2 linked regions of the Schizosaccharomyces pombe genome follow. The protein of the gene in region 2 interacts with the protein of the main gene of each other region in a pairwise test. Each region holds a gene or a part of one and is shown on either strand. Other genes may lie near its edges. The genes, in order: alp7 and nuf2.

Region 1 (4,783 bases), 680 kb from region 2:
TCATCGAAATATTCCTTCCATTTTGAATCATCACTAGTATTTAAAGGATGGTCACTGTTTTCGCCTGATTCCTCGTGTAGAGTTAGTTTCCTCCAAGGATCAATAAGAAGCTCTTGAACGAAAGATGTATAAGTTTTTCGATGTTTTTCTAGAACTGATTGCCAGTTTGATCTATCGGTAGGAAGGAACTCAAGCATCAACATCCAAGCTTTTGCCCTAAGTGAATATTCATCAGGAATTCCTTGAATACAAAGCGAGCATAAACCAGGGAGAGAAATTGGCTCTTCCGAATTTAAAATGTCTTTAAATTTTTCAATGCGTTGCTTATAGTCCATAATAAACTAGAAGCGATTCAAATAAGATATTATGTAGTTTGACTATATCCAATTTAGTTATATTATCATATATAAAATATTACTGTTGAAAATTAAATATATGAAGAAAAGGAGAGCGCAATTGGTGTGTTCAGTAGCCTGTTTCACACGTGGATGATGGAACTAAGTTAGCTACTAAAATTGAATGCAAGTTTAAGAACCGACTAAATTTTCTGACTTATTTTTTATACTAATTTCCTTCTTAACAATACTTCCCTAATCAAATACTGTAGGAAAGTACAGAGTAATGAACGTCCTTAGTAGATGTACAGTATAGGTAAGATTGATGTAGGTGCAACATACAGACCAGGAAAGAAATATTTGGTTTAAACAGCACCTAGAACGAGCAATTAATAATAATTGGATATTTATTAAATAAATGCACCGTTTTCTAATGTATGTATGTGAGAAATTAGCCTTGAGATTGGCTCCAGTTTTGATTCTATCTATAATACAAATAAAAGAAGAAAGAGTGGATATGCAATTTATATTAGGTTGTATATCGAACTGTTATGATGTATAAATATACGAAAATTGGTAGATAATGTATAACCATAAAAGAAGGCTTAATTAATGGAAATCAAAAGAATTCGGGTTGTATTCATGAAACTGGGGTCATCAATATGAAACTAAATTAATCATGAGAATACAGAAGTGGTTTGGATAAAGGAAACGGCATCAATACATTAGCAATACTCTATCAAAAAAAAAAAAAAAATTATGGAGATTGTTTTTATCAAAAATGAAAGCGCAGATCATGATTTTTGCTCCAAATTCAGTTGATCCATTGCAATTACCAAGTCCTCGCTCATTTGTATCAACTGTTGTCGTTCCTCCCTTTCGACCCGGAGCTCTTCTTGAAGCGCTTGCAGTTGTAAACGAAGTGTTTCCAAATCACCTGTCTGTTGTGATTGTTGTTGCATTAGTAACTTATCACTCTTCGCCATATCAGCTTTAAAATTGTTCAAAAAATCTGACATATCTTGGCGCTCTTGAATGGCTTTCTCCAGCTGTTTTTGGAGAGTCTGATTGTCTGCTTTCAATGCTCGCCTTTCTTCCTCCCAGTTACTGTTGGATATTTTTGGAGCATTAGGAGCAGTACCGATTTGATTTTGAAGCTCCTGTATAGTTGCCTCGTATTTTCGAGCATAATTGGCTTTGAAAGCATTAATTTTCTGAGTGTGCTTGGCTGAGTACTGAGCATGTAAATCTTCAGCAACTTTTTCCATGCGTTCTTGAATTAACTTGTCAACTTCCTCTTGAGTATATTTACCTCTCTGAAGAGCTAATGTCTCTTCATTATGCCCTTCAACAAGTCTCATGTTGGTATCCTTTGTGGAGGGACTAGTCGATGCTTTTCCAGATCTAAGTTGCTGAAGTTGGTCATTAACGGCAATCAATTGTCCCGAAACATTGACGATTGTATTTTGGAGTACGGAAATTTCATGATAAGTGCCAGCAAGTTTGGCTTTGTAGCCCTCTATTTCAGCTTCGTATTTCGCTTGCTGCTTTTGAGTGGAATTAATTGGGTATTGAGTAGGTATATCGGCCTGTGAAGTTGATGGTGTAGCAGAGTTGCGAATGTTGTCTTTCAAATGCACTGGTGGGTTCAACGGCGCCGTATTAGTTTGACGTGGGAAGCTTCCGTTTGAAAGCACTGGGGGCCTAGAACTAGCTGATGTTTGCAAAGATGATGAATGACTGTATGCAAAATTAGATGGAGCGGTATTTAAAGAGCCTCGTTGGGAGGCCGCATTGGACGATGAAAATAAAGAAGGATTCTTCGGCGTCAAAATAGATTCTACATTTCTTTTTCTATGCTTAAATTCTGGCGTTTTATGCTGTGACAAAGGATGGGATATGGGATGCATCGGTCTAGGGGTTCCTGAAAAATCAAAAGATTTATTCAACTCTAAGGCTTGTAGTCGATCGCTTACTCGCTTATTAAGAGTATCCTTTAAATTCAGCTGTGGATTGGGTTTAGAAGTTAACTTAGGGAATAATTTAGGGGCAGGCATGGATTCCTCTGAACTTCGTTGAGCTGGAGGAATCAATGATTCTGAAGAGGCACCTTGCCTTTTTTCATGAAAACCCGTATGATCAGTTTCATTTGTCCCAATACTAGATGAGGAGGGAGACCTCCTACTGTAATCTGTAGAGCTCGAAACGATATCACTCATTTTCGGTTATGACTTTTTAAAATCGTCAAACGATATAAAGAACTAACAGATATATGAAATATAAATACACAAGAAAATCCTTTTTCAAATATTTTACAGCTGGTATTATCGTTTCAAAGTTAACGATCAGTAGCTAACTTTTATTTTTACTTTTTGAAAACTGGTCAGATGTCCGCCTACGTAGAACAATGGTTCAATAACAAACTTGAGTCATACAATGCCCAATAAATAACCCCTTATTGCCCTCAATTCTTCGTCTTGATTCAACACTAGGCGTACAATGGTGGTGTAAATAAAAGGCACATACATACTGGTTTACACTGAGTAAGGAGAGAGTGGGAAGAGTTCACCGAGCTCTCGGTGAATTTTCGGTAGCTTGTTCTCCGAAGCCTTTGTAATAACACCAAAGTATCCTACTGTAAACACTAAACAATTTGCAAGTCAACCTTTGATATTATGTGTGCCAAATTTTAGTATGAAGAAAAATGAAAAGGCAAACGTATGTATATGAAAAGAGGGAAATCGTGATTATCTAATGAATGGCAGATATCGGCCTCATACAATGACCTAATTGCAACAATTTGCAATCCTCGTATCTCTGATGTCGGTACATATCGCATTGAGAGTGTTGTCGGTGAAGGTACGATACTTTTGTGTTATTGTGAACGCTCAATACTGGACGGCTATCTAACAAGCATGGGTTGTAGGCAGCTTTGGAAAAGTTTATTTGGCAGCTCATTTACTGACAAATACAAAGGTATGGGTTATTCAAAGATTACTATGTCTCTAAGTTATAAAAAGAAGAATAAACGGCTCGTAAATTGCGAATATTGACCGTTCCAAAGTCGGTTGATTACATTATGAGAATGATAAACGTTTTATTCATCAATAAATTGATTGTACCTTGCTAACATTTTTATTAAAGGTTGTCCTGAAATCATCTTGCAGGAAACAAGCGATTATCCTTGCTCGAGAAATTCATCATCATCGGCGTCTTCTTCATCCAAACATCACGAGGCTTTATGAAGTAGTATGCACCGAAGACCGAATTTATCTTGCCATGGAGTATTGTCCAAATGGTGAATTGTATGACTGGGTAGCGAGAGAAAAAAGGCTGGATGAAAAGACCACTTGCCGTATCATGTGGCAGCTATGCTGTGCTATTCAGTATTTACATAGACAAGGCTGTGTTCACCGTGACCTTAAACTCGAAAATATTTTTCTAGATAAAGCCTACAATGTTAAGCTTGGAGACTTTGGGTTTTCTAGAGATTCTGATTGTTCCCGTAGAACATTTATGAACACACGTTGTGGTACAGTTGCTTATTGTGCTCCGGAGCTAGTACAGGGCCATAAATATATTGGTGAATGCGTTGATATATGGTCTCTGGGTATAATTATGTACGCTCTCTTAATAGGAAGGCTCCCGTTCGACGAGGACGATGTATCTTTAACTGAGCAAAAAATTATCAATGAATGTCCTCAATATCCTGAAACACTCTCCAAAAACTCTTCAAGCTTGTTGAAATCCCTCCTTTGCAAGGATTACCGACTTCGACCCTCTATCGATCAAATCATCTCTCACCCCTATTTCAAGGAAAATGGATATCATTCATCTTCTATTCGAGACCCAAGGCCTTCCTCGAAAGCAGAGGAAAAAGTTCGTAAAAGGCTTGAATTTGTTGGTGTTGACATGGATCAACTTAATGCCAGCATCTCACAACAGCGCTGTGACATGTTCTATGGATGGTGGCTTTTATTACTAGAAAAAGAAATGCGTAAGGAAAACAAAAAAAAGAAAGGTTTGTTTCATTTACATAAAGGTTCATCTTCGGCTGTACACATAGCTCCAGCAACTCCATCATTAAAAACCGCTCAAGTTTCTGTTATGTCCAACAATCAGGATTCTTTAAAAAGTCGGCATACATCGTCAGATTCAAGTAATTCTTTGCTTTCTACATTTCGTAGTTGGTTATTCGATCCTAAACAAAAGCATACTGCTGATACGTTAAGCTCATCAGCAATTAGACCAAGAACACCTAGTCCTTCGGCTGAAAACTATTTAACTCAAGAAAATTTTGATTCCGATAATTTATCTGAGTCTTTAGACAATTCAGTTGAGAACCTTACCGTGTTTCCTTCGATTAACAGTTTTGGAAGAAGACACTCAAATCTTCCTCAAACAACGCACGTTGATACAGGTGAGCAAAACACACCATTCACTCCTCC
Region 2 (4,195 bases):
ATCTTCCTCAGACCCCTCTACTTCCAAAGGTGGACCAGCAAATGCTGCATGTAAAGCTTCAAGTTCTTTCGAATCCTCGATAAGCTTAGCCCTTTCTTCGATAGATGAACCTTCAGCAGTTCTGATTAGACTTTTAATAAAATCATTTTCATTGACTTTTCTTCTAAGTTCTCCATTCGAAACCGCATGTAGCAATCCAATCGTTCCGCAAGCATTTGGAATTGTTTGAGGGTACCACAAGACTTTGTCACTATCCTTTGGTAAAATTCGTGATCCTTTATATATAGTTTTTGTTCCTGAGGATGGAAAAACGAATAAAAGAGCATGGACAGGACGAGGGATATATTCGGGGATTTCCTCTAATGAAAACAGGTCAAAAACGCTAGCATCTTGTACACCGATTTTTTGTAAGTAAGGTTCCAGCACCTCTGGTGTATTTTCTAAAGGCCTCCACATTGTAATTTTTCTCGAATGATAAATGGCTCTAATTGAGGCTTTTTTGATCAGGTTTGGAAGGCGTGGCAGAGGTCTCAGAAGTCAGCAAAGAGGCAAAACACCAAAGTTTGACAAAGTTAATCGAATATCTTTAGATTGCCAATTTTGGGAATCTACAAAAAAGCTTTACTATAATCAGTATCCTATACTTCAATATCCTGTCACGTTCAGCTATGAAGATGACTGTAAAAATAGGGATTGTTCCATAGGTATATTATAAATAGAGTCATAAAATATTAATAATTACCAAGATTTACCTATATACATTTACTGTAAAATCTAAAATTCTGGCTTCGAAGTCCAACCAACGTTCTTATAGGTAGTGTTGAAATATTTGCACGAATAAAGATTTTTCAAAATGAAGATACTAAGAGTTAGAAGACCTTAAGTTTCTGAGAAGTTCAGCAATATAAAGCTCCACGTGCGATTTCAATTTTTCGAATTCCATAGTTATAGAGGATATTTGAGACTCCAGTTCTTCTCGCATTCCAGCAATTTTTTGTTCGGTCATCTCTATCATGGCATTTTTCTTTTCAGTCTCCTGAATCTTTTTATTCCTTTCTTGGGTAATTACTTTGTATTCTTCCCGTATGTTGTCCATTCGTTGTTTGGCAGCCTCAAGTTTTTGATTTCGAGAATGTTGTTCATGCTCGAGTTTTTCTTGAGCATTAGATAATTGCTTTAAAAGTTGTTCTTTTCTGAACTCAAGTTTTTTTTTGTTTATTTCTATTTGATCGCAAAGCTCTTGATTTGTAGAAAGCAACACAGTAGCATGTTCCAGTTTATCCAATTCTACAAGACATTCTTCAAGCACTTTCAAACAAGCATTCAAGTCTCCTTCAATTAACTGTAAACTGTTCAATTTTGTATGCAGAATTTTTGACTTTTTATCCAGTTCCACTTGCTGCGACCGATCATTTTGTATCCGTAACGATGTGTCTGCTATCTTTCCTTTCAGCTTTTCAGGAGAATGTACAATAGAGGACTGAAGTTTTTCAATTTCTTCCAAAGTACTGGCCATTAATGAATCGACGTTGTGATACCTAATCTTTAACTCTGAGGCCTCCATTCTAATGCGATCATATTCTGTACGAACTTGAGAGCACAATCGTTTGTCTTCTATCAAAGACTGAAACATTTCTTCGTTTCTTTCTTCATTCTGTTTAATAATTGCCTCACTTTCCAATTTCCTATCTTGGCTTAACAAAACTTTTTCCTCTAAATCTTTTCGTTGTGCATCTAAAAGGGTATACGTTTCCAGAAGGCTTTCTCGCTTCTGTATATCATCATCAAATTGCTGTAACCTCTCTTCTCTGAGTTTTGCAAAATTAATAACTGCTGATAAAATTAGTTGTAGTCGATTTCTGTCTGGTTTCAATAGGTCTTGAATCGTAAAGTCATGAAAACAGATGTTTTGCATGAATTGACTTAAAATCTGATAAAAAACAGTAAATCTTAAAGACTCATGTATTATCTCGAAATTCTCGACAGAATCTTGTAACGAATTAACCTTCTCTTCTAAATTCTGGCGGGTCAACCCCATAAACAAGTCAAGAAATTCTTCATACAGAGGGATGACGGCTTTCGAGGTTGGTTGGTCAAGCTCTTTAGCCGTGAATGGAATTCCAAGACCATCTATGCATTCTAAAATCTCAGCACGCTTCAAAGAAGGAAATGTGTGTTTTCGTGCCATGGTAAAGTTGATGGTTAACTGAACAACTGGATTTTACGTATTTAATCTGCTTTGATTGTGAATTTAATTATAAATATAATAAAATAAAATTTAAATTTTTTATTTAGTTGCATGTTCTAGATATTCAATTTTTCATTCTTTTTAAAAAATCAAGAACAAAGCTGAATTTCGTATAAGTTTTTCTTCTGTCATACATAGTAAATTAACAACTCCGTTTTATATATCTTTTTTAAAAAGTGAACGATTTGATTTAAAATAGTTCTATATAGTTTATATAATTTTACAATCGATGGTTTATCTCAAACGTTGCATGTAAGCAAGAAACAATATAAGGAGCATATAAAAGCTGAAACTAGATAAGAAGATAAAAAAATTAACATTTATGCCTGATGACCCAACTTTACTAAAAGCCTGAAAGGGCTAATGATAGATGAAACCAAAGTTTTAGGTTGACTTGGCTGCAACAGCTTCCTTAACCTTAGCATCAAACTTTGCAACAGCAGATTCAACGGCTGACAAACCTTCGTCTAAGTCGGCTTCTGGAATAGTTAAAGGAGGAAGGAAGCGGAAAACTGAAGGATTATTGAGTGAACAGTAGACTTGGACGTGATATGTATCGGCAAGGTCATTGACAATAGGAGTTGCATAGTATTCGCCGAATTCTTCTTGAACTGACTCAGGAATGGGATAAAATTCAATACCAACTATCATTCCTCGACCACGAACATCCTTCATAACATGAGGGAATTTTGTTTGAAGTTTATTAAGACGATCAAACATGATACCACCTAACTTGCGGCATCTAGAAAGAAGGTCGTTTTGCACGATATAATCGATGGTAGCAACACCGGCGGCAAGTCCAAGAGTGTTTTCTTGATAAGTGGCAGTGTGCAGAAAAGCCGTTTCAAGGGAATTGTAAGCAGCATTCCAAAGCTCCTCTGTAGCGATATACCCTGCAAATGGAATGAGTCCGCCTGAAAATCCTTTGGCGAAAGCGATACAATCCGGAATGATGTTTTCGTATTCACAGGCCCAGAATTTACCGGTACGACCACAACCGGTTTGAATTTCGTCTAAAACGAGATATGTATCGTACTTAGTGCAAAGTTCACGAGCCTTTGCAAGATAACCTGGAGGAGGGACAATAACACCACCTTCGCCTTGAATAGGCTCAACAATGAATGAACGGTACATACCAGAGGATAAGGCAACTTGAAGTGCTTCCGCATCACCGTAAGGGACGTAGTCAACGTCGAAAGGAGCAGGACTTTGATATTTTTGCCATTTTTCTTTGCCGCCTAAAAAGACGGCACCAGTGGTTTTACCATGGAAAGAGTTCAAAGTAGAAAGAAACTTTTTCTTGTTAGGCTTATAACGGGTAGCAAGGCGAATCAATTTAATAACTCCCTCATTAGCTTCAGCACCACCGGTTGCAGTCCATGTGCGAGTAAGTTTTTGACCAGGAGATAGCAAAGCCATATTGCGACCAAAGGCAGCTGCAAGGTTACGATAGGAAATGGCACCCATCATATATAACTTGGCATCAAAGCATTTCTGTAAGCAATCCCAAACATACTGATTGTTGTTACCGACCGTTACGACTCCAACGCCTCCAATTAAGTCCAGATGCTCAGTACCCTTTTCATCAACAAAACGAGAATTATCAGCTTTCACAAAATTGCGAGCGTGGCCATGGACAGTGCGTAACTTGTTTAAGTGGTCGAGTTGTAACTTGACAGTCGTTTCTGGGTCCATTTTCATGGCTTCGTCGAAGCACCACAAACCCTCAGGATAATTGCTGGCTGTTCCATTTTCGGAGGAGGCATCGGTTTTTGAACCATTTGTGTTAAGTTCAACCGTCTTTGAGGTAGCAGTAGCAGTGGACGTGGAATCAATCATGATAAGTGCGTAAATTTAACGTAAATAAACGAGCAGGAAAGATAGTTCTTAACTCAAAGCTTCTTAAATGTAATTTCCAAATGAATCTTTACAGTATATGGTTACCTT

The links.
Region 1: the proteins of nuf2 (region 2) and alp7 interact in binary tests that used the Schizosaccharomyces pombe proteins (3 or more experiments, as listed by UniProt).

What each region holds. Positions count from the first base shown.
Region 1 is NC_003424.3:5,001,642-5,006,424, forward strand, and holds alp7 (kinetochore-associated protein Alp7), read right to left. Parts: upstream 2,845-4,783; 5' UTR 2,555-2,844; coding exon 1,130-2,554; 3' UTR 759-1,129; downstream 1-758. Other genes in the region: tbc13 (GTPase-activating protein), read right to left, coding at 1-335; serine/threonine protein kinase Ppk16, read left to right, coding at 3,030-3,053, 3,101-3,194, 3,262-3,311, 3,480-4,783. UniProt on the Schizosaccharomyces pombe protein: Required for bipolar spindle formation and proper chromosome segregation. Has an indirect role in connecting the kinetochores and the plus end of pole to chromosome microtubules by targeting alp14 to the spindle pole body.
Region 2 is NC_003424.3:4,321,020-4,325,214, forward strand, and holds nuf2 (protein Nuf2), read right to left. Parts: upstream 2,205-4,195; 5' UTR 2,189-2,204; coding exon 863-2,188; 3' UTR 501-862; downstream 1-500. Other genes in the region: ubiquitin hydrolase Uch1, read right to left, coding at 1-456; SPOM_SPAC27F1.05C (aminotransferase), read right to left, coding at 2,633-4,087. UniProt on the Schizosaccharomyces pombe protein: Acts as a component of the NMS (Ndc80-MIND-Spc7) super complex which has a role in kinetochore function during late meiotic prophase and throughout the mitotic cell cycle.